Medicago truncatula: one gene and its partner. The protein of the gene in region 2 interacts with the protein of the main gene of each other region in a pairwise test. Links are inferred from orthologs where the notes say so. Each region holds a gene or a part of one and is shown on either strand. Other genes may lie near its edges. The genes, in order: protein ASYMMETRIC LEAVES 2 and transcription factor AS1.

Region 1 (15,933 bases), on a different chromosome or scaffold from region 2:
ACTAATCACCGACGGAAAGAATAAGGACGTGGTAGTCGTTATGTCCATAGAACAGCTAGATGAATTTCCGGAGCATGTGGAAATAACTTCATCAAATGTACTTGGGAATAGTTTTCTACTGCCAACATCGCCACCAGGGCCGGCCCTGGGGAGGTGCAAACAGCTCTACAGAGCTGGGCCTCCCCAATTTTGGGGCCCAATTTTTATTTTATTTTTTTAATATATAACGCATTGAAATTTTAATATATAGGCATAACATCGAATTTTTACAAACTAAATGTTGTGGCCTAGCGGTTAACTGTGGTAGTGTAGTGCTTTTTGTCTGCGGTTCAACTCCCATATATGGCAAATGTCATTTTTTTTTAATTGTATTATTCTTTTATCTCTTTTGGGCATAATTTTAATGGATTTGAGGTCTATATTTCATCAATACTTTCTCTTCTCCTTCCAATTCAATTCACTTCTTTTGCAAAGCTGTAACAACAAAGATTATAATTATTCTAAAAATAAAGAAAACATTATGTTCTTTTTTTCTTTTAAAAAAATTGTATATTTTAGGGGTCTATTAATAATAAGAGAGCCAGGCCTCCAATTTCACAGGGATGGCCCTGATCGCCACTTGTGGGATATGGAAACTCTCCATGGGAAGCATGAAGAGGAAATTCGAGGAGCTGCTAACCGTCAACCAGTTGGTCCTCCCCGGCCTCAAACTCTGGGGGCGACATCATTTGCCTTCTGCGACCACAAACTGCCTGGTGGATCTCCAAACTCAGCCATACCTCTACTAGCAAAGGCATACACGGTTAACTTCGATGTCAACAGAGTCCTGATTGACACAGGGGCATCTTGCGACACTATGTACACTGACCTATTCCAAACTCTCTAGTTGACGAAGAAAAATCTCCTTATGTTGAGTCCGAACTCTACGGATTCAACAGTTCTTCCACGAAGCCACGAGGTTACATAGAACTGTTCGTAACATTTGGCCAAGGAGAGTTCAAGAAGACAATAAAGATCTCATTTATGGTGATCGACAGCTTCTCACTATACAATTGCATAATATGGAGGAAAGCGATGGCACAACTCGGGGCCGCATGCTCGACTTCCCATTTAAAGCTGAAGTACCATGCGAAGAACGACACCATCGCCACTCTGCATGGAGACATTGAAGTTGCAAGAAGATGTTTTGTCCAGACAAATAAAAACCATAGCTTGGTTTCCCTGACTGAACAATCATCTGAGGGTCCGTTTGATAGTCAGTATAGGATAGAGACAAGATATGATATAAAGCTGAATAGAGATATGATATGATAAAAACATGTTAAATATGATAAAAACATGTTAAACATTAATCCTATCATATGTTTGGTGTGCACATGATAACAAACAAGATATCATTATAATTAAATGGAAAAATTGCACTCATAATTAATTAAATATTGTAGAAATGGCATGTGATTAATTATAATAGAAAATACATGCTATCATTATTTTAAACACTGACAGTATTTTATAAATGGTAGAATATCAAGATAATAAATAAGGAACGATCTTTTAATCCATTAGGATAATTTCTAACCCAGCATATACTTAGAATAAAAATTACAAAGGAAAGTCGGGATAGGATAGGAAAATGGTTTATTTTATCCTATCCATTTGTTGTATCAAACATGAGATTTCAGCAGGATATGATTAATGTATCATATCCTGTCTCCTTATCCTGACCATCAAACGGGCCCTAAGGGTAAAAGGAAAGCTACTCCGAGCAACATGGACTCCAATATGGTTGAGGTCAATGAGACGGATATAAATATGCAACTGCACATAAATGTGATTATTGCATATGTTTTGTTGAGACAAATGAACATGTTTACCTAGTTTTGTTGAATTTCTATAATTGTTTTAAAGTTATGGTCAATAGACGGACTTTATCGAATTGTGTCCTAATAGTGTGATAACATTAGCTAATAGTGTGATAACATTAGGAATGTTTTGTAATTATGTGTATGTGATTAATGTATAATGAATTAAAGGTGGGTTGATTGTTTGTTGTGTTGGCATTATACATGTTAAATGTTGATGTTTGTATGCGGTGAGGGTGGGGTTAACTCTCAATGATATAGATTATAATTCTGATTTTGATTTAACATGAGGGTTTTGGTTAATTTGGGAATTGGGTTTAGATTTTAATTCTTTGATTTTGGATTGAAAGAGTGTAGGAACTATTGTAATAATGTTAGAATGTGTTCAGGTCGTAGACAGAAATTTATTACACTTCTGTAATCTGTTTTGGGGATTGAAATTGAGAAAATTGGGATTTTTGGGAAAAACCTGCATTCTGCCCGTACAAGATCTTCATCGCTCGCCTCCGCAAGTAGCTTGTCTCGCCTCGCGAGTGAGCCATCTTCATCTCTCACCTCGCGAGCAAGACCACTCGCCATAGCGAGTAAGTGAGTGAGAGATCATGATCTTCAAATTGTTGTTTTAAGATGTAAGTTGGATAGTTTTGAGTGCCTGGATGTTTTTAGAGAGGACTGAGACAATTTTCAGATTAAAAAGATGATTAGGGAGCTTAAAAATGAAGATTTAGTGAGAAAAATGTCAAAACTCCCGAGAGCACCATTTTTCTTGCTCGCCACGTACTCGCTATAGCGAGTAACTCATTTCTTGAGTTCGCCACAACGAGCAGATGCACTCGCGAGGCGAGTTGCTCAGTACCTGAAGCCGTTTCTATGTATTTGAATATTGTTGGTTGGATTTTGTGTAGGACAAATAGTTATGATTAATTGTGTTATTTTACCGGAGCTGTTGAATTAAGTATGATGAATTGTTGATTGCTGTTATGTATATTTATATTTAAATAAATTATACAAGTTGTTGAATTTCATTTTCAAAGGTTGTTGTATCATTAGTTGACTATGTTGAGGGTAAGTCATATTCATATGTATGCATTGTTCAGTAGCAGTTGTCGTCGTTCATGCTGTTGTTGTGTTGTAGTTGAGTTGTATGTTGATATACACAAGTGGAGTTCATTGCATAATCATAAACTGTTGAGGGCTCATGCCTTGGAACGCCTTGTCGTTCAATCGTTGAGGGCTTATGCCCTGTGAATGCTAGCTCATTCAAACCGTTGAGGGCTCATGCCCTGTGAATGCTTTAACCATTCAAACTGTTGAGGGCTCATGCCCTGGAATGCCTTGTCATTCAAACGCGTTAAAATGGTACCACATGCATGTGCATTGTCACATTTTGTTGTTGGGTCATAGTAGTGTTGTCGTGTCATTGCATAAGTCGTTGTTATTGGTTGAAATTGCCAAATGTTGTTGATCATGAAATATATAAGTATATTGAAGTATTGTTGTTATTTAGGATGTTAGATTCAATTGATGGATTATATATCTATTATTGTTGTTTGTGAATCTCACCCCTTCTGCTTGAAAATGTTGCCCATCGTATAAGTAACTTGCAGGTGATGAAGAGTAGTAGAAGTGGTGGCTTAAGTGTCTTAGGGCTCTGATATGTAACGGGATGGGAAATTGTTGTTATATTTTCATTCCTTATGTATCAATTTTGGAACATGTTGTTGGAGCCTTTATTGTTGTTGAACAAATTGTTGATGACTATTTATGTTGAGGCCTTTGTGCCAGAATTTATTGCTGGTTATTTAATGTTAAGTGATTGAAAAATATTCCGCTGCAAAGTATTGATTTATCTATCAAAGTTGATTTTAATAAATAGCATTTTATTCTATTTAAGAATTTTGAAATGTAGTGTGACATTCCCGTTTATTGTTGAACTCTGATTTATTTTATTTAATATTTAGATGTTGGGATAACGGGGTGTTACAAGACACACCCCTAGGTGGACGTAGAGTTGTTCACGGTGCGGGTTGGATCGATTTTGAGGCAAAAAGTCATCCAATTGAAAATAAAAATCACATGTGATACAATTCGGTTTGGATGACTATTTTAAAAAATTCGATCTAATCTGATTCACATATATACAGTTTAATTTAGATCGATTTTTGGATATCCAAAATGCAACATTTAATTCTTTTAACTAATATTAATATTACACATACACGATAAAATAATAAAATTCATTCAAAATCATCAAATACATTATAATATTAACATTACAAAATGTAAATGTTCGAAAGATATGAAGTGGTAATAGTATAGATGAAATTAATGCAAAATATAAGATTACATACCAACAAATAATATATTAATGGAATATATAATACTAATAAAAGAATAAATAGGTATTAAAATTTACTTTTGCGGTTTGTTCGGTTTGGAAAATGTGATCCAAAATTTGATCCGATATGAGCGGTTTTTACAAAACACTATTCAAACACATTAAAAAATATTCATTTTTTGTGGTTTTAGATATTTTTGTATCGACTTACGTTTTATTTTGGATCGGTCTGTATTTTGGACGGTTAGGTCAATACCTTAGGAAACTCCTTATAATTGTTTAAATGATGATCGATCTATGACGTTGTCTTTTGTCAAGTAACCTAATTGCTAGAAATTCACCTTTTAAAGAGGAATAAATGAAGAGTTCCGGTTTGAACCCAAACCTCTACATATATAATAAAATATTTCTATCAATTGAGATAAAATCAGAGGCCATGACGTTGTTGCTACCTTATAATTGTTTTTATCACCATGTTTAATTTTTTTTTATTACTGATAAACCTTTTCAAAGATATATTTATCTACATCTACTATATATACACACAAATAATTTCAAACAAATACAAATATACAAACAATGTGTATTTTCACGTGCATTCCACCTGTCACAATTCTAGCTAAAAAATTCCAACTCTTAGCTTAAAATCCGATATCTTTTATTTTTTAATTTGAACCAAGTATCTTTCTATTAAATGTACCAAACGTACAAAAATTAGAGTTGAGATTGAGATTAATTATCGATCTGCAAGTAGCAACAACGTCGAGCTGTCACATCTCATAGACATTATAAGTTAATTAAACTTCCTTTCCTTTTTGGTTTCTCAATTGAAGTGGTTGTAACGGACGAAAGAAAAGGAAAAAAGAAAGAGGGGACAAACAGCATATAATTAAGGAAGTAATAAAGATGAAAGGTGAAAGAAATGCAGTAGGTATGGATTCTCTTATTGCTATATTCTTTTATTCTTTTATTCTTCATTTAATTTATAGCATTTCAAAACTTATAAAAGCATGAATAAATATAGAAAAGCGTGCATGCAAAACCAAACTTCAAGATAACAAAAAAAAAAAAAAAAAAGTGATTGATAGAAACAAGGAATAGTCAAGAAGAGGGATAGTAAAAGAATTGGTCAAGTCATAGTCACTGAATTCATTTCATACCCAATGGAATTAACAAAGGGGTTCAGATAGGAAGAAACAGGTCCATAGTGTTGGCACTGTCTAATAAATGCGAATGACATTGAGAATTAAACATAATGTAGCAATGTGTATGAGTAGTTTTACTCAGTAGCAACTTGAACCAATTGCTATAAATGCACCTCTGTTGTTTGGCCAGAGTTTAATCATCATTTTTTTCATATGCTTCTATTAGTTCAACCGTGTAATTGTGTACTAGAAAAAGGTATATAATCATATACAAGGGAAAAAAGACATAATATATAAGCATAGTTTTAAATTGCAGTTGTAGGTGTATTTATTATGCTTAAATCGTATATTGTTATAAAATGTGGTTCATAGCATCGCAATTGATCTTGTGATATTTATGCATAGGTTTGTTGAGTATAACTCATTGGTATGGTTGAGAAATAATGTTTTATAGTGTAAAACAAAAGAAACAATATAAGTTAGAATAAAACACTCATACAAGGTAAAGGATGCCGCCATCAGTCATGATAGCGCGGAAAGTAAAGGTTGTGAGACACGCCTTTAACCACGGGAAAGAAGTTGTTATTTTAACATGATCAATATGGCTATAAATTTATACTCGTCACTAAATTAGCGTCTCTAACACATAGGGATGAAATCAAACAAAATTCACATTTTTTTCGTCAACTTATATCTAGTATAAATTAAAGTTTATCTTCTGTACAACGATAATAGAAATATTTGTTATACACGACAAATATCCAAACAGATGTGTGTGTATATATATATAAATTTTTAAATTGCAATACAAATATCTAAATGATGGAAAGTAATTTAGGGCATGTAAATCTATATTAACTCTCCGAGAGCATAAAAATTAAATTCTAAAAGTGACAGTTCTCATGTAGTGCTTATTAACACCATATGTTTGACCAAAAATGTACCATCGTAATTGATTAAAAGAAGATAATATACTGTTTGCTAATAGTGATAATCTTTCCATGGAGGAAGAGGAACCCTTCACTTATTTCTTCTCTCTGTAGAGATAGTAAAATCACAATAGTAAAATATTGGTCAGCTACTTCATAACTTCATTTAGACGTCATATATATATTTTTTCTGTCTACAATTTTGTAATCATATAAAACAAAAAATAAAAATAAAAACCGATTCGAGCTTTGACTGATGAACAAATTTGTCTTTGAGTGTCCATCAAAAATGAAGAATGAAGGTTGAAATCTTCTCTCCAGCTAGTAATGTCAAAACTCCTTGAAAAAGAGAAAGAAATATATATTATAAATAAAATTCTTGATTATATATACATATACACACAACACAAATATATATAGTTGAATTAAAATATTTTAAATATTCATAGTTTCATTCATATACTAAACTCATTCACTATAATTTAAAGGATTTAACTATCTATTTTCTTCTTCAAAAAAAATAAACTGTCTATTTTATAGTTTTAGGCATAACAAATTATAATAGAATATTTTCTAAATTAATTAGTTTAGGTGCAGTATAGTATTACATGAGGAATGGCATACAATTAAAGCATTGAAGAGTCTCTTCCAATGTTATGATTGCATATTTCATATGCAGTTATGTGATTCAGTGATGATAGGTGACAGAACAAAATTAAATAAAAAGAGCATTAATTTATAAAGTAAAAATAAAAAGCATTAATTATTACCTATAGCATTAGAAACCCTAGCTAGGAGCGGTTAACAGTACGGCGGTCGTCACCACCACCACCAGCAGCACTATGATGTTGAAGTTGATTGATCTGTCCTAAGCTAGCAGATATATTCATAGCCAAGAGACTAGCATCATAGTTGCTCCCAATTCCACCATCAAAATTTCTAACCAAATTATGTTGTTGATGTTGATCCCTTGGAAAAAACTGATGATGTTGATGATAACGATGGTCACGGCCGTTACTGTTATTACCACCACCAGCAGTATTTTGCGTGTGGTGGTAATTACCTGCAGCGGCCGTGACAGACTCACCTGTCATGCCGGTTATGAGTCCATGACCGGCAGTAGCTGCCGCTGCGATACTCAAGTTTTGAAAACGAGAAAGTTCGGATTTAGCACAATAAAGATCCATCTGAAGCTGACGAAGTTGGTGTTGAAGGAGAGAAATTACACCAACACAACCATAAACAGGATCTCGAAGTCGCATCTCAGCTTCATAAGCAAGTGAATTCACAGCATCTTCACGTTGGTGAGGGTGTAAATCATTGAGAAGCTTTGTAACATTGCTTGCTCCAAAAATTCTATGAACATTTGCAAATTTTTGTGGCTGATCAGGTGGAAAATAAGGTGCAAATGCACATTCTGGTTGGCATTTTCGGCGTAGAAACTTGCATGCTGCACATGGTGAATTTGAGGATGCCATGGTAGTTTGTTTTTGTCACACAAACAAACACTTGTTTTTCTCCTTCTCTTGTTCCTCTTTTTTCTGTCTCTCTCTCTTTCACACTACCATTAATTTCTGTGATGCATTCACCATGTTTTTGTTTGTTATTACTATGTTGTAAAATAATAAAATAATGGTAATAAAAAATTATAAAAGGAAATAAGAACTGATCCATTAATGCGTGTTATATGGCTAATTCCATTATTTTACGGTCTTTTTGGTAAATCTATTGTTTTAAATCACACACACTCTTTTCCTTTCTTTAAATTATTATTATTTTCTTTTGCAATTTATGACTAAAAAAACTATGTCGAAATTTGCTTACCCTTCACCACCACACTTTGTGCAGGTGTTTTTTTTAATATATATTTAGCTAGCTTATATCATCGACACTAAAATATAAACACCCTTCTTTAAAAGTTCTTGAGAAAATAAAAAATCTCTACTAAGGGGAAGAATAACCACAAAAGAAGTAAAAAAGACAAAAATAACTAGCAAGAATGTGGTTGTCACTTCATTATTAAATCCATATCTCAACAAAATATTTATTATTCAGCATGTAATTTTTTATAGAAGAAAATTGCAAATCCTCCCATACAATTTTTTCAGACAAAATTGTAAACTTACTCTCTCTCAACTCACACACAATTGCAATTTATACAAGGACTAAATTCCAAACCTGTCAATTACAATTTTTGTATTGAAAAATTGTAAACCATCTCATCATGACACACAAGTTTCCAATACATCAAGAGACAAGAGACGTTGTGGCGAAGAAAACTCAAAATTAGATCTCTATTTATACTAACTCTCAGTTTATTTGCCTACTACTCGTCGTTGAACTTGAATGAATATCCACTTTAACCTAACACTTTTGTCTTTGATAGGAACACAAAAAAAAAAAAAAGAGCTAGAGGAAATTTAGGGTATCTTTAAAAAGCATTTTTTTTGTTCTTCATAAGAATCGAACTCACTTTCTCACGAACGATTCATCCTTGCTGAAGTTCATTTACTATATCTCAATTGTTTGGTTATGTTAATTTTTAGTATGTTAACCGAGCATGTAATTTTTTCGCCGTGTAACAGTACGGAGAATCATATAATATATGATTTGAAACCTATAGACTTCCTTCGGATTACTAGAAAAATTAGAAAAATTTAAAATAACGACAAAAGTTCAAGAGACGAAAAAGGATAAATTGTGTCTTTAAATTTAGTGACTAATTTAATTTTTTGGTTTCTAATTTTTTTCGTTATTTCAAATCTTTGGTAGTGTATATATAATTCTCAGACTCCTTATCTCATTAAAATAACAATACAAATAAATAAAAATGATGATCATTGATTCATTTGGGAGATCCAAGAGAGAAAAAAGAGCTAGCAATGGGATTGAAGAAAGTATGGAAGTTGACAAAAACAATGAATAAATATGCATATATAACTAATTTTCAAAGATTCAGTTACAACTGGAATTTCATATCCTCGGACAAAATCCTTGGTCCTTGTGTTTCTGGCTGAGAATTTGAAGACAAAAAACAATGGTGAAAGTCATGTATATGAGAAAGCCAGCGTTGTCTAAGGAAAATAATGAAGTTGATTAATGTTTGATGCCAGAAGACACTTCCTCGTGTGAGAGGCAAAAGTTATGGTGCATAAGGATTTTCCTTATGCACCGTGCATAAACACTTCACAACCATCAAATCTAGTGTACACGTTTAATAATCCAAGGCTTCTCAAACTACACCAAATCAAACTTCATTTGCTTCAAATATTTCTCTCACTAAAATATAAAACTCTCCCTCTCTCTCTACAATTTTCAACATTCTGGAAAAGAAAACGAAGAACTCAGATGAGTCTTCATCTCTTCCGGCCACATATGATGATTCTAACGCGCGGTGGTTGCTGGCCAGAGGCGGCGGCGGCGCCGTGCCGGAGAACCAAACTCACCCTTTTTAAAAACTAAAGCCATTTTCCAACATCCATTTTCGTTTTAAAGCCAAATCCGAACTCGGATCGTGCAAAAATACAACGAGAAGGAGTAGATCTAAAGATTAAAACACAAACAAAATTTTCATTGCTTCACTTGTTGTTGAGCCGGTTCGCTCCTCTTCCTCCCTCGTGTTTTCTTCTTCGATCCAGTGGCGTTGTGTTGATTGCTATATGTTACTGTTTCGTAACTGTTTGTGTTCACGGTTTCATATCTGAAGTTGTTACTATATTCGAAATCTTTGTGATGTTGGAGGGGTTTATAGCTGAGAAACTACTGGAAACCACTAAGTACATCTAAAGGTTTTGGAGAACAACTCACAGAAACCATTTCTTTCCTCCTCCTCCAATTGTGTCAGTCCAAAACTGAATGATGGCAATGACTCTAGGTCCTTAGTTTTTTTAACCTGCTGGAAACCATTAAATACATCTAACGGTTTTGGATTACAACTCACATAAACCATTTTCACAGCAAAATGGTTTTAGCATAATTTTATACAAAACATAATATAATAAGAACATTTGTGACTATTATTGAACCAAATCAACATTCTGAAATCATCATTATTGAACTAAAATGATGATTTCCGCGGTTGTAGTGTTGTTTCGTTTGGTTTCGCTTGGGGGTGTATGAAACAATTATGTTGGGCTATCGGTTAATGAGTTGGGATTTATGCACGGTGCATAAGGATTTCCTTATGCCCCATAACCGCTCCCCGTGTGAAAATGTAAGCCGACTTGATATTGTGTACGTTACAAGTGTGTGCATATAATACTTCTTTTTTTGCAATTGTGAGGTTTCGAATTTTGTGCATATAATATAATAAATAATTTAGAGTACAAATATAAATTTTACAGGATATTATTTCATTTTGTTAAATATGGCTACGTGTTTTTCTTTGAGTGCAAATAACATCTCCAATCGTCCCTACGTAAGAAATAAGGCAAATTCTACGAAATCCATTTGGGGTTGGTCTAGTGGTTGGTTTGGGATCTTGGATTTTGCTCCTCCAGAGGTCTCAGGTTCGATTCCCTCTGGTGCCAATTTCGGTGGGCTAAGTCCATACAGAGCTTGCTCTGGCTTTAAACGGGGCCCCCGCAAGTGGGCGGTGTAATTGGTCCCCTCGAATTAGTCGATTCTTGGATCGGATGCCGAGTTTAAAAAAAAAAAAAAAGCAAATTTTACGGCACACTCAAAAATTCGAGTGTACCGGTACACCATATCATCAAATTAATATTGAAACGAGTTATTGTTATAGTTAAATGAAAAAATTCGATAAAAACATAATAGAATATAAAACTCGATAAAAACATGATATGATATAGATATGATAAACATTTATCATATCATGTGTTTAATACATGCATGATAAAAAATAGAATATGATAGTTAAATGACAAAATTAGCCAAGTAATCGATTACATATTTTAAATAGTTTAAATGACAAGCCCATGTTACACAAAGAAAAAATTACCCATGTAATCAATTGCATATTTTAAATACTAATCAGTGTGTCACGTGTCACCTTTATTTTAAGAGTTATGATACATAGATACTCTTAGATGGCAATACATCCCTGGACATCCACATAAAAATCTGACATGTGGTCACGTGGACCCTGCACAAGCACATTTTCTCTTTCCTCTCCTCTTCTCTCTTCCTAGAATATAGGATGTACAAAAGTGTATGGAAATAAAGGGTGTCTATGTAACATTTTCCTTATTTTAAAAAATAAAATAAAAAACAAAAAATTCATATATAAGATAAAGAAGAAAACCACTTGTCACATTGTGGTTATCCAATGTTACGTGACATTGACACCACAATGTCATTGATAACTGGAAAATAAGTTGGTTATCACATTGCACTTAGCCCCCATATTGGACAAGTATTTGAGTGATTGCATTGACTTAAGTAATAGTTTAATCAGTGTCTATTTTAGGATTTTATAGTTTTAAGTATTTTTAGTACTTTGGAGAGGCCAGGTTATGGTTAGGGTTAACACTTTAGAGATCACATTCCATCTCATCTTCTACCATAGATGAGCATGGTGGCTAGATTCTAAAGTTCTTAGAGTAGATTACTTGGTGACGTTTTGACTCACCTTATTCCTTCAAAGAGTGTAATCTTGTGACAACTCTATCTATTCTATTAATTTAGTTTTCTATGCTTTCATTTATCTTCATCTTCATTTCCATTTCCATAGTTCATCTCACCATGAGCTAAACCCCTTTGAGTGATTTAGACATGGTGAAGTTATGATTTATTAATTTACTTGCGATATATAAAGTTGTAGCGTCATGCGATTTATTAATTTACTTGCGATATATAAGTGATTCCTGACAACTTTTACTTCTAATGATATAACTTGCTTTCTTAAAAAAAAAATGATATAACTCGCTTACCTTAACAAAGTAAGGAGTGGAAAATGTTTATTCGATATTATTTTGCCCTTGAGCACCATTGAGTGAAAGGGAGTGGAATCTTGAATGTAAAACTGACACTATAGGAAGTTATATCTCTGTGAATCTCAGTTGGCTTAAGAGGTTAACAAATAGCCATAGTGTTGAGAATCACCATATGCATACCACGCTATAGCTTAGTATTACATTCACTATTTGTCATATGACAAAGGATTTGTATATCCGCACCTCATGGTGAAATGGCAGGATCCTAAACCAAACCAACTGCACGTGTTAATTATTGTGTCTGCGCAGCGATTGGAGACAGTTCCTTTATCTGGTGATAGGGTAAAAGGGTGATGGTCCGCCCTTAAATAAGGTGACTTCTTGTAGCTTAACACAATGGTTCCTATAGACCATTTGGTTCGCCATAAAGCTGGTTATGAAAGATATAACTCTATGGATCACAAAGTTGCAAGAAGCTAATAAACGGATGTAGCCTTGTGAGACATAGTAGCCATATCAGGATATAGTGTTGTGTATCTTAGAGACTAAAGATGCTTCGAACCGGCTATAGCTCTGAGCGACACAGACAGCTATACCTTATTTATAGCTTTGTAAATCGGAGTAATGTTTTATCATGATTGAACCTTGTATTAAGCCACACCATCTATTTTGAGATTTTCTAAAGACTTTAACTACTTTGCCAAACTTAACTTTTTACTTTTACTGTGTGACAAATGTTTTATTTTATTTTTTTCCAAATAAGTTTTCTGCTGAATAGCTATTTGAAGTTATAGCTCCAGAGTCCTTGTGGGACCGATATCCTTTTATACCATAACTTGGACATTCTAGTGTTTTGGGAGACACTAGTTCACCAACTGTTGTCTTGTCTTAAACCATGGGAGAACCTTGCTTAAATGGTTTAACAAATTCTCAGTTCAAGACATGCTTGGTTTTGGTGTTTTATCCACGATGAAAAGACAAATTAACATATGAGAAAAATATAACATTTAAAGGAAAATGGAATTACGGGAAAAAATGATAAAAAAATTAGGGGTGGTGGCTCTATCTAATAGATAGATTTTTTCTCTCGACTCAAAATACAATGTAAAACATTTTCAATTAGGAGTTTACATTTTGTTGATATCCCTTTCCTCCTAATGGCGGCCTTTTCTTAGGGGTGGATCCATCTAATAGGTAACTCTCCCTGATCGTAATGACATACTAGGTACACCTAAGTCATCGCAATTATAATTGTATTTCTCAAAATACTGTTCAAAATCATGATCGGTAAAATATCAAACTTGTGTCAAATACATATAGTCAAATGCCAATTTTTTTTATCATTTATTTTATAAATCATAAACAATCCAAATAAAATATTTTGTAATATTGATGACCTTACCAATGAGGAGAAATGTTCAAGGTTGTATTTCCCCACTTCAATAAAATACTTTAACATATAAAATTATCAAAATATCAATAATAACAGTATGTAAAATATGTGATAAAGATTGTCATCTACTCATACTTATGAGACTCAACTAACTGTGCACTCCAACCACTCCTAGAGAAATATTTGAAGCATCCGACGTCATATTTGAGCATTATAGAACTTTAGTAACAATAGATAAGTATGAAATCCTCTGATATATACTCTAAACCATCCGACGTCATATTTCACAAAAAGGATATACTTCACCAAAGCACAAACCCTAACCCAAAAATCCGACCAAATTTCACTTGTACTAAGAAAGAGCTTTGCTTGGATGTATAATTTTTAGGCTTAATTACACTTTTGGTCCTACCATTTTGACCAACTCATGAAAATGGTCCTATCTTTTTTAAATCGAACAAAATCGTCCTTAAACTATATGTTTTTTTTGCAGTTCTAGTCATATCTCCCTATTTCCAACTCCAGAAACGCACAGAAATGACAATTTTAGTCCAACCACCTCAACCATGAAATAAACAAAGAATAAAACATGTGGGTACAAGGAATCTACTTTATTCAGCATACTAACCTAATTTTTTAGACATGTTACATACCTGAAACATGTCTTAGAAATTAGGATTTTTCTTGGTTTGTGTGTTGAACAAAGTAGATTCTTTGTACCCACATGATTTATTACTTGTTTATTTCATGGTTGGTTGGACTAAAACTGTCATTTATGGAGTTGGAAATAGGGAGATAGGACTAAAACTGCAAAAAACATATAGTTTAGGGACGATTTTGTTCGATTTAAAAGAGGTAGGACCAATTTCGTGAGTTGGTCAAAATGCAAGGACCAAAAGTGTAATTAAGCCTAATTTTTAGTATGAGTGTTCGATTTGTGATTGAAATTGGTTGATTTACGAAAAGAAGGTTAAATGAAGAAGGGGAAAGGTAGGTGGAACAGAGAGAGGTAGGGGTGGGCAAAATTAACCAATAACCGAATCGAATCAGTTAATCGAACCGAACTATATCAAAATTAACTGAACCATTTCATAAATTTTTGAACTGAACCATTATTTTCTTAATAGTTAATTAACCAAACCGAACCATTAATAACCACAGTTATCCAAACCAAACCAAACCAAACCATAACCATATAACACAATTACGGTTCTGTATTTTTGCCTTGGTTTCTGTTTGAGTCTTCTTTTAATTTGTTCTAGTCTGGTTTTCTATGTTGTTCATGTGATTCCAATGCTGTTTGAGTTGTTTCTCGTGTCTAGTGTGCTAGTTTGGTTCATGTTTGATTGATTATGTTCCACCGAGATTCCGTTTTTCTGGTTTGACCATGCTGGTTCTAGGTTCGCCTATTGCACTGCTTTCAAGTGATTCTTTGGTGTTGTTTGACTGCACCGCGCACCACAGTTGTATCCAGAGATCTCAACTGCTAGTTTATCATTTCTGTTTGGTTCAAAGCTGTGATGCCAGCAACACTACAAATTTCTATTTTGTTATGATTTCTGCTGCTATAAACATTGACTCAATATCTTTATATTCAGGGGGAATGATAGAATATAAGAAAAATCTATATTAGCATGAACTTGTGTTATCTCATAGGATTAATTTCATATTTTAGAACATCTCTTATGACTTTGGTTCGGTTCGGTTAATGACCAAGCAAACGGTTGACCGAACCATAACTTTGGTTCAGTTCGGTTAGTTTCAAACCTTAAATGGTTCGGTTCAGTTATTCCGAACCATTTTAACACTTCGGTTCGGTTAATATGGTTTACCGAACCATGCCCACCGCTAGAGAGAGGTTACAGGGAAAGAAAAGAATGAGAGAAGTGTTGTAGTGATTGTGTTATGTTTAATTATATAATATTGTTTCTTTTACTTTTTTTTAATTAATAAAACGGTGTGTTTCACTTTTCCCTCCTTAGGGTCCGTTTGGTTCAAAGAAGGGGAAGGGAGAGAGTTTAATGGAGGGGAGGAGAAGGGAGGGATGGGGAGTGAAGAGATTTTAATTAAATATGTATTTGGTTTAGAAGATGGGAGGGGATGGAATAGAAGGTATTTTAATTAAATATGTGTTTGGTTCATAAGGGATGGAAAGGATTTTAAACATAATTTACATTTTTATTCTTAAAATTTTATAACATTCATGTTTTAAATAATTGCATATAATCATGGTACAACACTTCAACACAGATCAAACTCTATCGATAACAATTTCCGATCTTAATAATCCATCTAATACCATAAAATATTTATAAAATTAAATTTTACAAAATATATAACTCATATACTACTATTATATATTAATATTATAA
Region 2 (16,417 bases):
TCATTAGTTGAAAACCTCTCAGCTCTCACCAGGACGCTCAATAAATCAGTAGAGGAAAACATCAACCTAGCAATAAAACTGAGCAAACTCTCACTATGCTTGCAAAATTCCAAAAGCATGTCAGCCATAGCAAAAGTTAGGTCATTTGCAGCCTTCTTTCTTTTCGGAACAGAATCACTCGCAGTCGTTAGTCTAACTTCCCAACATTTGAAAAGAGAACGAAGCACAGGAGAAACAGTGTTTTCAACTTCGTCCGGAAGCGGTTGCACATGCTCCACACCCTTATGCATTGAACAAAACCCCTCTCGCTTCCACGCAGTCACATCCCCACAATCACAACAACCACCACCCGTGTAAATGACAGAGTAATCATGCCCAGTGTGATCCCCATTCTGAAAACAAGGAACACAGATAGCGCAAGTCGGGTCATGTTCACAAGTCCTACACCTATAAGCAATATCAGTACGTCCCCAAACCGCCCCGCAAACACCTCCCTGACCAACCATACTAGAAAGGCGTCTCAAAGCATTTCCCGGGTCATCCTCAAACATCAACCATTGCAACCACACCAAACTCTCTTGAAACCTCTTCTTCAAACCCATCTTCGAATCTTGAGATACTGCCAGTTCCGCATCAGCAGGCAATACAACAGACACTATATAATCAATCACCTCCTTCTTCTCTTTCACAAAAGCAACCAAACCAGATGGGGTAAGCTGCTCTTCAGGAACCCCATACTGTACAAGCCTCTGAAAATCATACCAAAACCATAAATCAAACATCCATTAAAATTTCAATATAAAAAATTCAACATTGGATAAATTTCACTAAACCTAAAAAAAAAAAATATAAATGAACCAAATTTCACTAAACAATTAAACAATTCAAAATTGGGTAAATTTCACTAAATTAACCAACAAATCATTACTCATTTCTTAATTTTACATCATTAAGTGCAAAATTGAATAATCATACAGTGATCAAGTGACGAAAAGTATAAATTTTCAATAAAAAAACGGTTTAGAATGAAAAAATTACCCGAATGATTCGATCTCGGGGTCTGAGAGGTTGAGATTCAGAGGGAGAATCGATTTCCATATTCTCAGCCATGAAAGAACGTAAAAAGCGAAACAAGGAGCGAGGATGAAAACCAGAACCTTCACTCCCCAGGTTTGATTCTGAGGAATGGAATTCTTCGCTTCAATTCCGTGAAGTGAAGAAGAATTTAGCGAGAAATTGAAAACCCTAATTGGATTTCCGAAAAATCCCCAAATTGTGTGTGAATCGCGTTAATCGAATACGAGACTAAACCACTATTGTTAATATGAAATTGATTAAGATGGTGATGATGATGCTTCTTATATATTTTTATACGATGCTATTCAACTACTACACTCAATTCTCGTACACTATAAATTCAATAGAGTAATGTTATTTGAAAATCGATTTCAATGACAACTTATAAGAAAAGTATCGATTTCAATGATAACTTACGAGAAAACCATAATTTACAAAGATAATGAAGTGTTTGCACAAAAAACATAGCAATAGAGAAAGGTAAAAATGTGACTGAATGAATATGAAAGAGAAAGTTATCAAAAAGTTATACAATTATCATTTATTATTTCATGGATGTTTTAGTATTTTTTTTTTTTTTTTAAATACATGGGCTTATGGGCTAGGAAAAAGAAAAACTACACAATGACAAAGTTTGGAGAATTGATCTTCTCACTTTTGATTTTGTTTAATTCAACGTGAGTTAACTCACACTCGACGTTTTTCAATACGAGTTAACTCAAGTTGGCACTTGTATGATCGATACAACCGTCTTAAAAAGTGATTAAATTGATTTTAAAAGTGTCAGTGTGTGTGTTAACTTACGCTAAATTAAGGGGATGAGCAAAATCAAAAGTGAGAAGGGCAATTTTCCAAAGTTTGATGTTGTCTGTGAGCTTAACTCAGTTAATCAATCCAACATAATATATGTAGGGATGAGGGTTTGTCCTTGTTGGTTTAAATGAAAACGACGTTACAAAAACGGCCAAAGCTCTTACAAGACAAAGAGAAGGCAAAGAGGAAGTAGTGAATCATTCTAAAAGAAACAAAGAAATTCTGAGTATTGTTCAACGAAATTATCCTTTTGTGGCAAAGATTCAAACGTAAAGAAAACTTGTGATGCACTGGCAAATCTCTTCAACAACGACTCTATTCAATTCTTATATAAAATGACCCTAAACATTTGAAGAATATAGAGAATCACACGCTTTCAAATTGTGCTAAAACTCTGTTCAAATTTCAAGCCCACATAAATACTTTTAAAAATTCTTACAAACTTTCAATCTTAGAATTTCTCAAGTGTTTAAAAATCACTCTAATCTTAATTTAGTTTACCACTCTTTGAGTCTGAAGTGTAAACATCAATCAAATTATTTTTAAACTTTGATTATAAAAGTTATCAAAGTGAGGAAGAAAATCTTAGGCTTGTGTTTGTGTGTCTAAGTAATTATAATCTTATTTGATTATGGTGAAAAAGTCTTTCTTGTGTGAAGGGACCGGAAGTTATTCCGAATTTTGGGGTAAACCAGGATAAATATTTATGTATATCTCTTATCTCTTTCTATGTTTATCTTTTGCACCCTCTAATTAGTTTTAAACTTATAAATGATTTCAGAAGGAAAAAAATCTAACACAATCGTACAAAATCAAAGGATCACATGAATCACACCTAAGAAAATGTAAGGCATCACACAAGTATTTAACCCACGCTAAGAATGGCATATTTTCACTTTCCAGTTCATTGGTGATCTCTTAGTTCTTCGCACAAGACTCCTCCTAGAAGCACATTGATCGAGCGAGTTATAAACAACAACAATTAAATTAACATGGAGCTCCACCAACATGAACTCTCTAGGAGGAACCCACGACGAACCTTGCAACACACACCACAAAACTTCGCAATGTAGGCACCACAACTCCACCAAAAACTTAGAGAATCCACATAATCGTTCACCATCTAAACCATGAATCATAGTCGTTCACCAAGCAAATAGTCAAATGCCCATACAAAATCAAGGAATCGGCTGAATCAAATCATACCTAAGAGAAGATAAAGTATCAACACAAGTATTCAACTCAAAGTAAGAATGACACAATTTCACTTCGCAATTCATTGCAATCTCCTAATTCTCTGCACAAGACTCCACCTAGCAACAGTACCACCACATTAGTTGATAAAGTTATAAACAATGATTGTTGAATCCATATGGAGCTCAACCACCTCTATCCGTTATCACGAGCCAACGACAAATCTTGAACCACGCCTTATAACTTTGCAATGTAGGCACTAAGAAAATGTGAGTTTCTAACCGCTAAACTATTTAAAAAATTAAAAAAACATCACTTTGCATGCATTCAGGAAACTATTTCAAAAAGGGAGTCCTCTCTACAAATGGTAATTATGCTACTTTTTTTACGGTAAGTAATATGTTGGGAATTAACGTGAACTCGCATGTGCAACACAACTTTTTTGAAAGGATGTGCAACACAACTATAAGGACGAAAAGAAGACTATTTTTATATGGTCTTCTCACATATCTTTTTTAAAATATCTTTTTCTCATGTTATATAATTCAAACTCTTTTATAGAAATTTTTGGATTATATAATCCGAAAACTTGTTTTATCCATCCATAATTTTAGAATAGTGGTGTCATATATTCTTAATATGACATAATTGAAAATGACAAAAAAAAAAATGTAAAGAGACAAATATGATACAAATGTTTATTTGATTAATTGATCAATATTTGCTATTACATTTACATTACCATAATGCTTATTACAAGAAATTGTTAGACACTTAAAATTAATCTCTAATGGAAGAAGATGAAGGGGGAAGGAGACTATGATAAAGTTTTTTTCCTCTCACATCCTAGAAAGGGAGACGAAGAGAGTTAAAGCTAAATATGATGGAAGAATGAGACTCTAATGAACAATCTTACACCTAAAGTCCTAGACAGAACAAACTTATATTGAGAAGATGATAATTTACAAAGCGAGACCTTGCCCTTTGACTATTCATATTATCCCTATATAAAAATAAAGAAACCTTGTATTAAGCCATATTTATGGTGAGAGGGGTAAAAAAAGTGTTGCTGACCAAGTTGAGTATACCCCTCTCACCACAAATATTGCTTCAGTGAGAAATAAAATTTCTCCCCCATTGTTTTCAATGGTGCCATAATCATGTTTTGCTTCCAGTCTTTCTCCCTCCGACCAAGTTGAGTATGACTTATAAACAGTGTACCCAACTATCTCATTTGGTCATAACTCAATATGTAGTGAGGTGGTATTTTTGGTAGAACACTATGCTAAGAGGTTTCTTTTATTTTTTTCTCAATTTGCAAAAGGTGGATATAATATAAGGTCTTGCTGATTGATCTTATCAAACACTCATAAGGTATACGATGCAGTTCAAAAAAATTACTCACACATACACAATGTGTACTTATTTGACAAGTGCACTTCTTCAATTATGAAATATAGTGCATAAAAACCATATACCAGTACTACAACAGTACACATCTTCCTCATCATAAAGTTTATTATTACAAAAGTGACCCAAAAATAAAAAAAAAACCATTAGATAAACCCCTAATGCAAATGCAAAGTCCTCAAGTTGTATGAAAAGATAGGATATTAATATGCATCTATAAGAACATTTTTTAATCAAATAGGAACAAAGAACAAAAACTAACAAGGACCATAAAACTGCATAAAACTCAATCACACAAAACCTTAACTAGATCAAAATGCTGAAAGTGATGTCTGTCTCTCTTTCTATCTATCTTCCATTTGATTCAGCATGCCTTGATCTACACCCTACTTGTTCTAGAAACTTGGTAAGGCGTAAATGCTTCGCAGCCCATTGTTCAGTCAATTTCTGCTCTTTGGTTTCAGCATCTCTTCTCAGCCCTGCTAACTGTTCCCTATATTCTCCTTCAATTCTATCCAAAGCAACAGCTTGTTCCTCCCTTAAAGCTTTTATCTTCGCTTCGATTTCCTCCATCTTCTCCCTCCTTCGACTCGCTTTCTCTGACTCCAACTGCAGCTCCACTCGGCTTAACCTCCATGCCGCCTCTTTCTTGTGCGCTGCCAATGCATGATGCACTTCTTCCAACTCCTTGCAGCAATCAACCAATTCAGACATTACCATGCTTTCGCCGTAACTTAGAACAGCGCCATGTGGAGCTACGTTCCCAAGAACAAGAGGAGCGTTGTCCGGTCCTCGTACTGGTTGCATCCACGGAGGAGGCGCTGCTACTGTCGAGGGAGATAGGCTTAGTGTCACTGATGGTGAATTTGGCCTAACAGGTGCTGCATTATTTGAATTCGATAGCCATGAAGGAAGCAATCCCGGAGTTGGTGCTTGTGCATCGGTATGAAGATAAGAGCTATTGGAAGCAGCCATGACAAATGAAGGAGATGGTCTCTCTTTCACTAGTTTCTCAGCAAAACTTTCGAGTATGTGTTCGTACTTGCTATCGTTAATCGGGTCGACAGTTCTGTTAATACTACCTTTTGTTTCTCTTTGTTGTTTCTCTTTGAATACTTCCCACCACTTCCCTAACCTCTTAGCAGTTCGACCGGGAACTTGCGCGGCAATTTTCTTCCATTTGTTTCCGTGTGTTGCTTGAAGGCTAATGACTAGACGCTGTTCTTCTTCGGTGAGAGATCCTTTCTTAATACCTGGCTTGAGGTAATTCTTCCACCTTTCTAAACACGATTTTGCGTCCCTGTTAAGAGGCGTGTTCATGCGCTGAGACACGAGGTTCCATTCTCTAGGTCCATACTGTTTAACATAAGCGCGTAATAATGCATCCTCTTCTGCTCTCCACCGCTGCCTATCTTTCATATCCGACATCCGGTTTCTTGAAACTTGCAATCTTCATAATGTCTCTGGAAAATTCATGACAATTCAAGGGATCAATTCACTGTGAAACAAAGTAGTATCAATCAAAAGGTGGAAATGTGAAGTTTCTATAATTTCTAATCATAGGTCCACAATTAAACAAAAGAAGATTAATTAATCCAATCAGAAATGTCAACAAACTTCATCAATTTATTAAGCAAAATAACACAACAGATATAATTCTACATGCTACAAAATGCATACAAAACATTTATGAAGAATCTCAAGGATCAATCAATACCCTTTGACTTCAAAGCATTAAAATTTCTCAGTTCAAGTACTAGTAATGACATCAATTCTTTCTATCAGTGATTAAATGCAAAAATATTTGACCACAGATTAATGTATGAAGTCAATATGTCAAATTGAAATCACATAATCTAAAATAAATTCTGGTAATTATCAATTCTGTTTCACAATTTTGACTAGACATAGAAAATTTTAATCAAAATTTGTGGCCTCTACACTAATATAGGAAACACAGTAGTTACAATTGCAAATAGTAATAATTTCTTTAAATAGAAAATTTTGTAAGAGCTTTAAAAGCTGTTGTAACATCCTAATCAAGAACAATGAATGAAAACCCCACCAAAGGTAGAAAAGGCCAAAAACAAAAAAATTGAGGAACAGTCTCACAGTGTTTTAAACAGCATTTCAAGACAAATTCTTAAATTGAAATTTTAGTTAGATATTTTTGTTGAATAATTGAAGTTTTAGATTAGCATCCACATAAGTAATAACTAATAACCACTTAACCACTCATATCAGTCAAAAAACAGAACTAAACAGGGATTCAGAGAGTGTGAAGCACATCAATTAAACACAGACACAAAGATATAATGGTTGAATTTTAATACTTTGATTATGGTAATTTTAAAAAAAAATACATGTGTTCAAAATCAATTAACATATCTAAATTCAGGAAAACTCAAACAATTTGAAGTAACATAAAAATAAAAACACAAAAACTGAAACATGAAACACAATAAGTATACAATATAAAAGCATATATATACTACTAACACATGAGCTTCAAGCTGAAAAGAGTTTAGCTTCCAAGAAAATAAGTTCACATGAACTTTATATAAATGTAACAAAATAACAAGACAATGATTTCAGAAACAAGACATGTTGAACAAAAGAAGAACATAAGAACAAGAAACTTTGCACCAAAAAATATACAAAAAAATCATGATATATTTAGAAAAAAGAAATAACAACCTTTGTTGTGTTGAAAGCAAAGTAAAAAAGAAAAGTGGTTAAAAAGAGAAGAATGAGAGGAGAGAATGGAGAGAAGTACCTCAGTCACAGTGTGAGTATGTCTAATAACAACCTAAGAAATTCAGGTCCATGAAACAGGAAGAAGAAGTTGAAAAATGGGGTGTTCTTGAAAAAAGAGAGGAAGTGAAAACCGAGGTGCAGTGTAATGCAGGAACTTTACCTTATCAATATCATGGTGTAGTAGTAGTAGAGAGAGAGAGAGAGGTTAAGGACCAGAGAGAGAGAGAAAAGTTTGAAAAGACAAGACATGTAGAGAGAGACCCCACAATAAGAGAAAAGAGAGAGATAATACAAAGAGAGGTACGTCAGATTCAGCGCCTATTATGCGAGAAAGAGAGAAAGGTTAGGGCACGCGAGTGATAAGGGACACACATGATCACTTACAGTCTATAGATACATACATGCTGTTACCCATTCATTATATATTTCACTCTTTGTTTATACACAAATCACATTTTTAATTCAAATTGTGATTTCAACTATTCTCATTAGTTTATCGAATTATCTATCTTCGGTCGTTTAGCTATATAACTAAATGTAAAATCTAATTAGTAATGAGGGTATTAGTAATGAGGGTAGTTTGTGTCTCTAAATTAATTGTAATAGGTTGAACTATTTTGTTAGGTCTAATAAGAGATATGTCATTAACATTGTTTAGCTATTTAAATGTTATGTTACCGGTCAATCGAGTATACGATGAGAAATAAACCTAAACCTAAAATTTAGACGGTCATGAGTGTAGTTCATGTCTCATCATGCTTTATCAACGATTGTGTCTCGAATCCTAAAAGATATGTGGTTCGTGATCATTTATATATTGAATATGTAAAATATGTTATAATTTGTATTTATGAGTATTGGCTAAATTGTTAAGATCTCATTAACAAAGAGAGAAGAATTACAATTCTTCAAGTCTCTTTTTTAGTGTAATATTTGTTTGCTTTTGAACACAAGAAGTTGCAAACATATTTCCCAAATTGATCAAAATCTCTTCATATACTCTTCTTTTCCAATTGATCACCCTTTTGGAAATAATTTAGTTTTGCATTGCAAAACTTGATTTTGAGGTAACCGATTATGTGAAATTGATTTTGTCTAAAAGCTAGTCGAAGGTAAAATGATTTATTTATTAGTTTTTTTTTTTTTTATAGTCAAAAGTTTAATGTGTATCATTCGTTCATGATGATAATATCTTGAATATATGTTGGGTTATCGATCAAGAGATAGAAACTAGCAATTGATAGATGGGCAGGATGGATCCATGTATTAGAGTATGTAGGCTTGTGCCTGTACTAAATTTTGAGAATTTTTTTATTAGGTGGTAGAAATAGAGTAATATATATAGTTATAATTGAAATGTTGACTAAATGGCCCACATAAATTATAAGTCGTTTGGAGAAAAAAGTTGTCTTAAATTATAACTCGATTTACAATAACAATGAAACATTAAATGCTTTTTTTCTTAGTGTACCTTCAATTGTTTTCTCTTATTTCAATTCTTTCATTTATCTTTCGTATAATGAAGGATAATTTTATAAAATGACTTATAATTTCTCTCTCGTACAATATTAATTAGATTTCTTGATTTGTATGAAATGATCAAAATACCATATAATTTGAGACGATTTAGTAAAAAAAATTATTACTATTTATAAAAATATACACTTGGTAACATTCTCTATAATCTAAGAATACTATGTAAACTTTAGACATTTTTTTTAAGGAAAACTTTAGACATATTTAAAAGTCTTGTATGTAAAATACTACAATATTGTATTCCAAAAACTTATGAGACGAGGGCTGAATTTTTTAGATGAAACTAATTTAATAATAATAATTTTTTTGGTAAAAGAATATAGTAAATCATAATATTTTGATAAAATTGTTGCCGCGGTCGTTTATATTTTTTTCCCACATTTGATCCATTAAATTCTAAAATGCTAACATGTTATCCTTTAGTCTTTAGAGTACACCACGTAGAGTTAGAGTACACCATTTGCTTACGTCTCTCGTGAAATTTGAGAGTAAGCGTTAGTGTGCTATTTTAGGACCAACCGTATGAATATGTCACTAAAAAAAGGAAAAGAATTACAAATATAGTATTTACATCTTATCTCATTATTAATTAAATAATATCGAATGTATTGATAATCAAAAGATCTATATATATATCTGTTACATAACAATTTCATTAAGTAGTTCCTTCAAAAAAAAATTCATTAAGTAGTTGCTTAATTCTCATATATATATACAAATTTTTAGAGCATAAACACTCACGTCCCAAATACAAGTGCACCCTCCAAAACAAGTACTTAACTACATCTCACAACACTAGAGTATAAGACAAAAGCAAAAGTCAAATACAAATTTAAAGAGTTTCGGACCGGTGCATCTTGTAATGAAGAACTAGTCTTGATCTTCTTCTTCCTTTACAATACTAAGCAATGTGTGACTTCTTCAATATGTATATTTTCAACCAACACCAACAATCTCTACCTTGATTGAAAATGATACACGTGTTTCCATCGTCGTCGATAATCATAGTTCAAAGAACTATCATACTCCACGTAGAGATTATAGTTACTTGAAGCTAAATCACTCCAAAAAAATTACATTGACTTCATTGCGAGAGTACACTTCGCTTGTAGTTAAACCACTTCAAGAATTTTCACATATCGAAAATGAGGTTGAAAACTTAAGGAGCAACTTCCATGTTGACAGGAAGCTCTTCAACCATCAACATAATATCATAACACACTTTGCATCAATGTCAATCAACACTTATATACTAATCATCACCTTGCGTATTTCCGATTATATCAAAACATGAGGAATGCTAGAAACACTCATTTTTCAACACTCTCTCTAGCACTCACTCTTTTATTGGATGAAATCAATGTATGGCCCACCACTTTGTGTGGGTTCAATTTTCAAAGTGTAGACCCGCAATGATTTAAACCAATAAACGAGTGAGTATTAGAGAGGGTGTTCAAAAGAGAGTGTTGTTAGCATTACTCATCAAAACGTCATTGATTTGAAAATTCCACGAGGCAAAAATGGATCTTCATCAATTTCCTATAGATTAAACTTCACAGCAGAAATTGTTATTGAATCACTTTCACAATACAACCTTTCTTTTACGATGTGGATAATAAGACAATGCTACCACCTTAGAACATACTAAAATTTTATATTCTTAGACCCACAATTATATCCTAGTTGTGAGCTTCTCGGCTCTCGTACCTGTCGTCCAATCCATTAGCGTCCAACCCTTACGAAGAGAGCCTTGGGGCATCCACTTAAACCCTAGGCATGGAGCCTTAAAACTTTATCAACTTAAGCGATTTTAACCTTAGACTGAAGCGCATTCACTCATAGGACGACCATCATGTACTTTTACTCAAGTGACCAAAGAAGCTCTCCAAAAGTTTTGATGTCAGTATTTGGAAAAAACCGACATAGAGAAAATAAAAGAACATAATAGAAACACAAAAGTATAATGTGAAAACTCCTAAAACAGATGAAAAACCACGACTATTGTCCAATGACAACTAGAGAATAACACTATATGCAAATTTTTACAATGTATATACTATTTTCAAACACTCAGACTCACGACTCTAGTACACCCCCACCATCCAAATCAAATATTTAACTATATCTGATAATCATAAATTTATAAAAAAAAAAAATGTAGATATTAACACGGAAACTAAAATAATAAAGAGAGAAAGTAAAAACATAAAGTATAAAAGAGAAAGTAATCATAAAAACTGTAATAAAATAATTGTATAAATATTATTTCTCTTCTCGTATCCTATTATTTGGAAGTATCCCAAGCTTTGGGGGGAGGGCAACATGATGAAAGCTTTGTGTGTTGCATGTGACTATATATATGACTTTTGAATATATAATGTGAGGTTCCTTAAAAAAATAAATATATAATGTGAGGTCTTGTGAGTACATTCATCTTGATAGAGATTCAACTCCACACTATGGTGTAAGCTGTTGCCCAAATTTGTAAAGTGTAACATGTGCTTTGCTACTTTTTGTTGGGGAGTCTACTTAAAATTAAGACCATCCCTAATGGTTTTTACCATTCAACACCATTCAACACCACTTTTTCAATTTCCAACACTCCACATCATTTTCTCTCTCTTATTCAACACTCATTCAACTTTTACCCTCTCCAATGGTTTTCATTCAACACTCTACCCCACCACTTTTTATTTCTTATTCTTATTTAATTTTTGTTTTTATAATTACATAAAATTATCGATTATAATTAAATTAAAATAATACAATTAACTATTTATTTTTTAGTATTTTTGAAAAAAAAAATTTGTAAAATAATTTATTTTTATTTTCTTAATTTAAAATGCAAGTACAACAAACTAAGCACGCGGCACACAAATAACTTAAAATGCAATACAACAAACTAAGCATACAACACACAAGTAATTTATTTAGTACGATACAAATCATCTTCAATCACGAAACATTCCAAACTTTGTCCATATGTGTTTCACTAGATCTGCTTGCAATTCGTGATGAACATCTGGATCACGCAACTCGGATCTAGCACGCACATGATTTGCAAAAGTTGGTAACACCTCGGTCAAGTATGGTTGCGATGTACTAGATCCACTTCCCCCAGGTTGCTCAAAATCGGTCCAATGTTGAGCATATGTATCTTGTTCATCCTCAACAATCATATTATGTAATATGATGCATGACCTCATGATGATACCCAAATCGGCTATGTCCCACAAGCGAGCTGGTTCACGGATGATTTTAAATCGAGCTTGAAACACTCCAAAAGCACGTTCGATGTCTTTCCGACATCCCTCTTGATGTTTTGCAAATAAATTATCGGGTTCACTTTGAGGAAGTCTGATTGACTTGACGAAAGTTGGATACGAAGGGTAGATACCATCAGTTAGATAGTATGTCATATTATAGGGACGTTGATTCACAAAGTAATTCACCCTCGGAGCCTTTCCCTGTTCCACATCATCAAACACTGGTGACCAGTCTAGAACGTTTATATCGTTCAACGTTCCCGGACATCCAAAAAAGGCATGCCAGATCCATAGATCATGAGATGCAACTGCTTCCAGAATAACTGTGGTGGTTCCCTTATCCCCCCTGGTAAATTGACCTTCCCATGCTTTAGGAAAATTTTTCCACTCCCAGTGCATGCAGTCAATACTGCCGATCATCCTTGGGAACCCCCGCATTTCACTAACATGTAGTATTATTTGCAGGTCATCTTGGGTTGGTGCTCGCAAATACACTTCCTCATAGAGTCGTATGATTCCTTTGCAGAATCTAAGTAAGCATTCCAATGTTGTACTACTTCCTATTTTGATGTATTCATCGACCGCATCTGCTGCCACACCATATGCTAACATTCGCATTGTTGTGGTACATTTTGTTAACGGTGATATACCTTCTTTATTGGCTGCATCAATTCGTTGGGTGAAGTAGTTATCACTACTTGAAAGGTCTCCAACGATTCGAAGGAAAACATATTTTTGCATCCGGTGCCGACGACGAAACATTGCATCGTCGTATGTAGGCTCATTGGCAAAGTAGTCGTCAATTAGTCTTTGGTTTGCCGCTGCATGATCTCTATTGAAATATTTTCTAGTACGAGATGCACTACCTTCCTCTAGTTTTTTTCGACGCTGAATAAATCGGTTGACGATATAAGTGTCTTCAACATCACGTTTTTGGAAGTAGGCTTCGATATCAAAAGGGTCCATTGATAGTTTTTTTGGAATTAGATATGAATGAGATTTGTGAAATTGGAAGTAGATATGAGTCCCTATATATAAGCACATTGTGTGGTGGACATTGACGGATTCGAAATAAGTTATTGTAGGTGAAATAATGGCCACATAGTGTGCATAATTATTAAAGCAAATAGTACGTGAAATAATGGGCACATAGTGCGCATGATTATTAAAGCAAATAGTAGGTGAAATAAGTCACGAGGGACTAGACAACACTAGGGACTATCACTGAGGACTAGACAACACTGACAATTATTAAAGTAAACATTGGGAGCTAGACAACACTGACAATTTTGACCGAATACAAACAAATATTTCAAAACAGCTCACGCTCCAAGTTTTCCAACAGCTCTTTTTTCCGGTCATCAAGATGCTCTTCAGAACTTAACTTTAGATACATTTTCATTTTCTCCTGTTGCACCTTGGTGTACTCTTTCAAATGTTCAATCTCTTGCTCCTTGATTTCTTTGAATTGAACCCACTCCTTTTCCACCTCCTCCAAGCCAGCAGCGTCCTTACTTTTCTTTTTACCTTTTTTTTTAGCTGCCTCCCTACCCATTGGACGAGCACTAGATCCTACAGAGTCCTCGTGAGATCTCTTAGATCCACTACTTCTTGACCCAACATTTCCTCCCATCTGACTACCATAACGTGGTTGATCACGGAGAGCGTGCCATTCTTCATTTAAAGTAAATTGAATATTCTTCCCACATGCAAATAATTCCTGCGCTTTTGTCAAAACATCATCTTCCGACCAACTGCTTCCTTGCAAACGCTTAGCGCTTTCATAAGCACCAATCCATTTATTTATTATTTTGCTCATATAATTAAAACGGTTTCGGCATGCAACTAGATCGCGGGGAGAATCGAATGAGCAATACTCAGCAATTTTACCCCAATATGTTTCTCCTCTCTGGTTTCTCCCGACAACACTGCTTGTTCCATATTTAATCCATGCACTAATTAGAACCAAATTTTGTTGAGTGTTCCATGCTGGTTCCTTACTTCTCTTGCTCTTAGGAGTTGAATCTTCTGGAGTGACTTCATTAGCAACTGCCATGCCACCAGGAGTTATTTGTGTTGAAAATTCAGGATATTGAGTTGCACCAACACTAGGAAAATTTTCATTCTCCATTGGCATATAACCATTAAACGGGGGTGTTTGAGATGGATATCTCATCATAGATCCATAATATGGATGAAAGTTTGGAACATAGGATGACTTGTTGAAATTTGGTGGAAAACCAAAATTAGGTACGTTTTGATGTATGTTTTGAGGACGTTGGTTGAAAAATTGATTTGGATTTGGATAATTGTTGGGATTTTCGTAGTTATATGGATAATTAGAAAAATTTTGGGTGTTGAAATGGTTATTATTGGGATCCATTTCACAAAAAATAAGATTAAAACTTCACTTAGTTTGCTAATAGAAAGATAATAATAAGATGAAGATAGTGAAAAACTTGGTTTTTTTTTTTTTCTGTGTCCAAATCAAATGATCCAAGTCTTTATTTATAGATGAAAAAAAATCATGAATTTTGGTATTTTTTATTTTTTTAAAATTAATTTACAACAAAATAATTGAGGTACAATTATTAAAATGATAAGAATCTGGACAACCAATTAAAACGCGCCACGTGTCCTTATCTATCCAAAAACCGTTTCTCTCTCCGAACCTCTGACCGCTCACGCGCCCTATCGGCACGTGTGTTGCACGCGCCCGTTTTTGACCAATTTTGAAGCACCACGTGGCAGGATTAAATGGAGTCGAATGGATTCATCTTCTCTCTCTTCTATTCCCCCATTCAACACTTGTTAAACACATCATTGGAGACAAAAATGCTGTTGAATGGAATATTAAATAGACCATTGGAGATGGTCTAAGAGGAATGTTATTTGAAGAGCTCTTTTTTGGGACAATTTTTTGGACAACTAAAATTTACAAATAAATTTAGATAGTGACATTAAAACCAAAACAATATAAAGAGAAAGTAAAAAGAGAATGCGAGTTTGAGAGAGAAAGTTATCACAAAAGTTGTCAAAAATCAGTTGTTCAAATATCATTTCTCTAAAATTAAATTGTGTTCCATTTGAGTTATAGGATGGGATGGCTCGTAGCCCAGCATCCAAAAATTTATTATAATTTTTTTTTTTTTTTGATATTTTATAGAAATCTAAAGTTTTAATGAACAATCAATCATTTATAGATACTTGCGTTGATATTTTCAACAACAATAATAATACATTTACACCGGGGCATAATTCATAGCCTTCTTTAAAAAAATTTGTATAATTCATAGCCTCTACTTTATATATCAAACAAATTTTTAATAAAAGATTTAAATTTAAATTTTATTTATTTATCTAAAAAATGATTTAATCATAACAATTCTAATATTACACTTCTAAATCCATTTGGTTCAATCCTTAAAGACAATTGTACCCAACAAAATCCTTAAGAAAATTAGTTTTCATTTAGTTGAAATTTTGTGAAGTTTCCCAATATACGAGTATGATTATCTAATCTAAGTTTATAAAATGTTATTGTGTTTTCATTTTTAACCTCGTGTTCTTTTTTGTGTGTTAATTATCCAGTTTTTAAGAGAAAATGTCTAATGAAATCAATGTATGTTTAGTTCCATTTCTAGAATACCAAAATTGATTCTAGAGGTGTAAAATTAATTATGACATGTTTGATTATTGTCGAGTAGAATTGATTATGTCCTCAAAATTGATTTTACTTTAAGCTATGATTTGTAACTTTTGATTCTAAAATTGATTTTCACATGCATATTTATAGTTTAATTCACTTTTACATTCATGTATCCAAACACAAATCTTTTTTTAGTCTTATCATATCAGAAGAGTTTTTAAAATTCTACTAACATTCAAGATATCTTTTTCAAAATGTCGTTTAATGTCGTGAAGAAGGTGGTTAGAATTCAAAGGGAATTCCTTTGGGGTGGTTTAGAGGGAGGGAGGAAGATTAGTTGGGTTAGTTGGAAGGTGGTGTGTCCACCGAAAGAGGTGGGTGGCCTTGGTGTTAGGGATGTTTCTTTGGTGAATTTGAGTCTTCTTGCAAAGTGGAAATGGCGGTTATTGCAAGGGGGTAATACGCTTTGGAAGGAGATTCTTGTGGAAAGATATGGTTCTAAGGTTGGCGAGTTTTTGGAGGAAGGGGTGGGTGTGTGGCAGACCAATGCTTCTAGGTGGTGGAAGGATTTGGTGTCCTTAGCTAAAGGTAATGAGGTAGATTGGTTTTATGAGGACGTGATTAGGAAGGTGGGTAATGGTGCTACAACGGGTTTTTGGAAAACGGCGTGGAGAGGAGGTGAACCTTTTATGATGAAATTACATAGATTATTTTC

Evidence for each region.
Region 1: the proteins of transcription factor AS1 (region 2) and protein ASYMMETRIC LEAVES 2 interact in a two-hybrid assay, tested with the Arabidopsis thaliana proteins (4 studies listed by BioGRID, with this or other methods). The link is inferred for Medicago truncatula from reciprocal best matches to the Arabidopsis thaliana genes AS1 and AS2.

The regions. Positions count from the first base shown.
Region 1 is NC_053049.1:15,628,351-15,644,283, reverse strand, and holds protein ASYMMETRIC LEAVES 2, read right to left. Parts: upstream 7,860-15,933; 5' UTR 7,753-7,859; coding exon 7,066-7,752; 3' UTR 7,045-7,065; intron 6,614-7,044; 3' UTR 6,273-6,613; downstream 1-6,272. UniProt on the Arabidopsis thaliana protein: Negative regulator of cell proliferation in the adaxial side of leaves. Regulates the formation of a symmetric lamina and the establishment of venation.
Region 2 is NC_053048.1:28,629,871-28,646,287, forward strand, and holds transcription factor AS1, read right to left. Parts: upstream 7,527-16,417; 5' UTR 7,271-7,526; intron 5,993-7,270; 5' UTR 5,923-5,992; coding exon 4,843-5,922; 3' UTR 4,527-4,842; downstream 1-4,526. Other genes in the region: E3 ubiquitin-protein ligase PRT6, read right to left, coding at 1-749, 1,039-1,110; glutathione S-transferase T3-like, read right to left, coding at 13,366-14,229.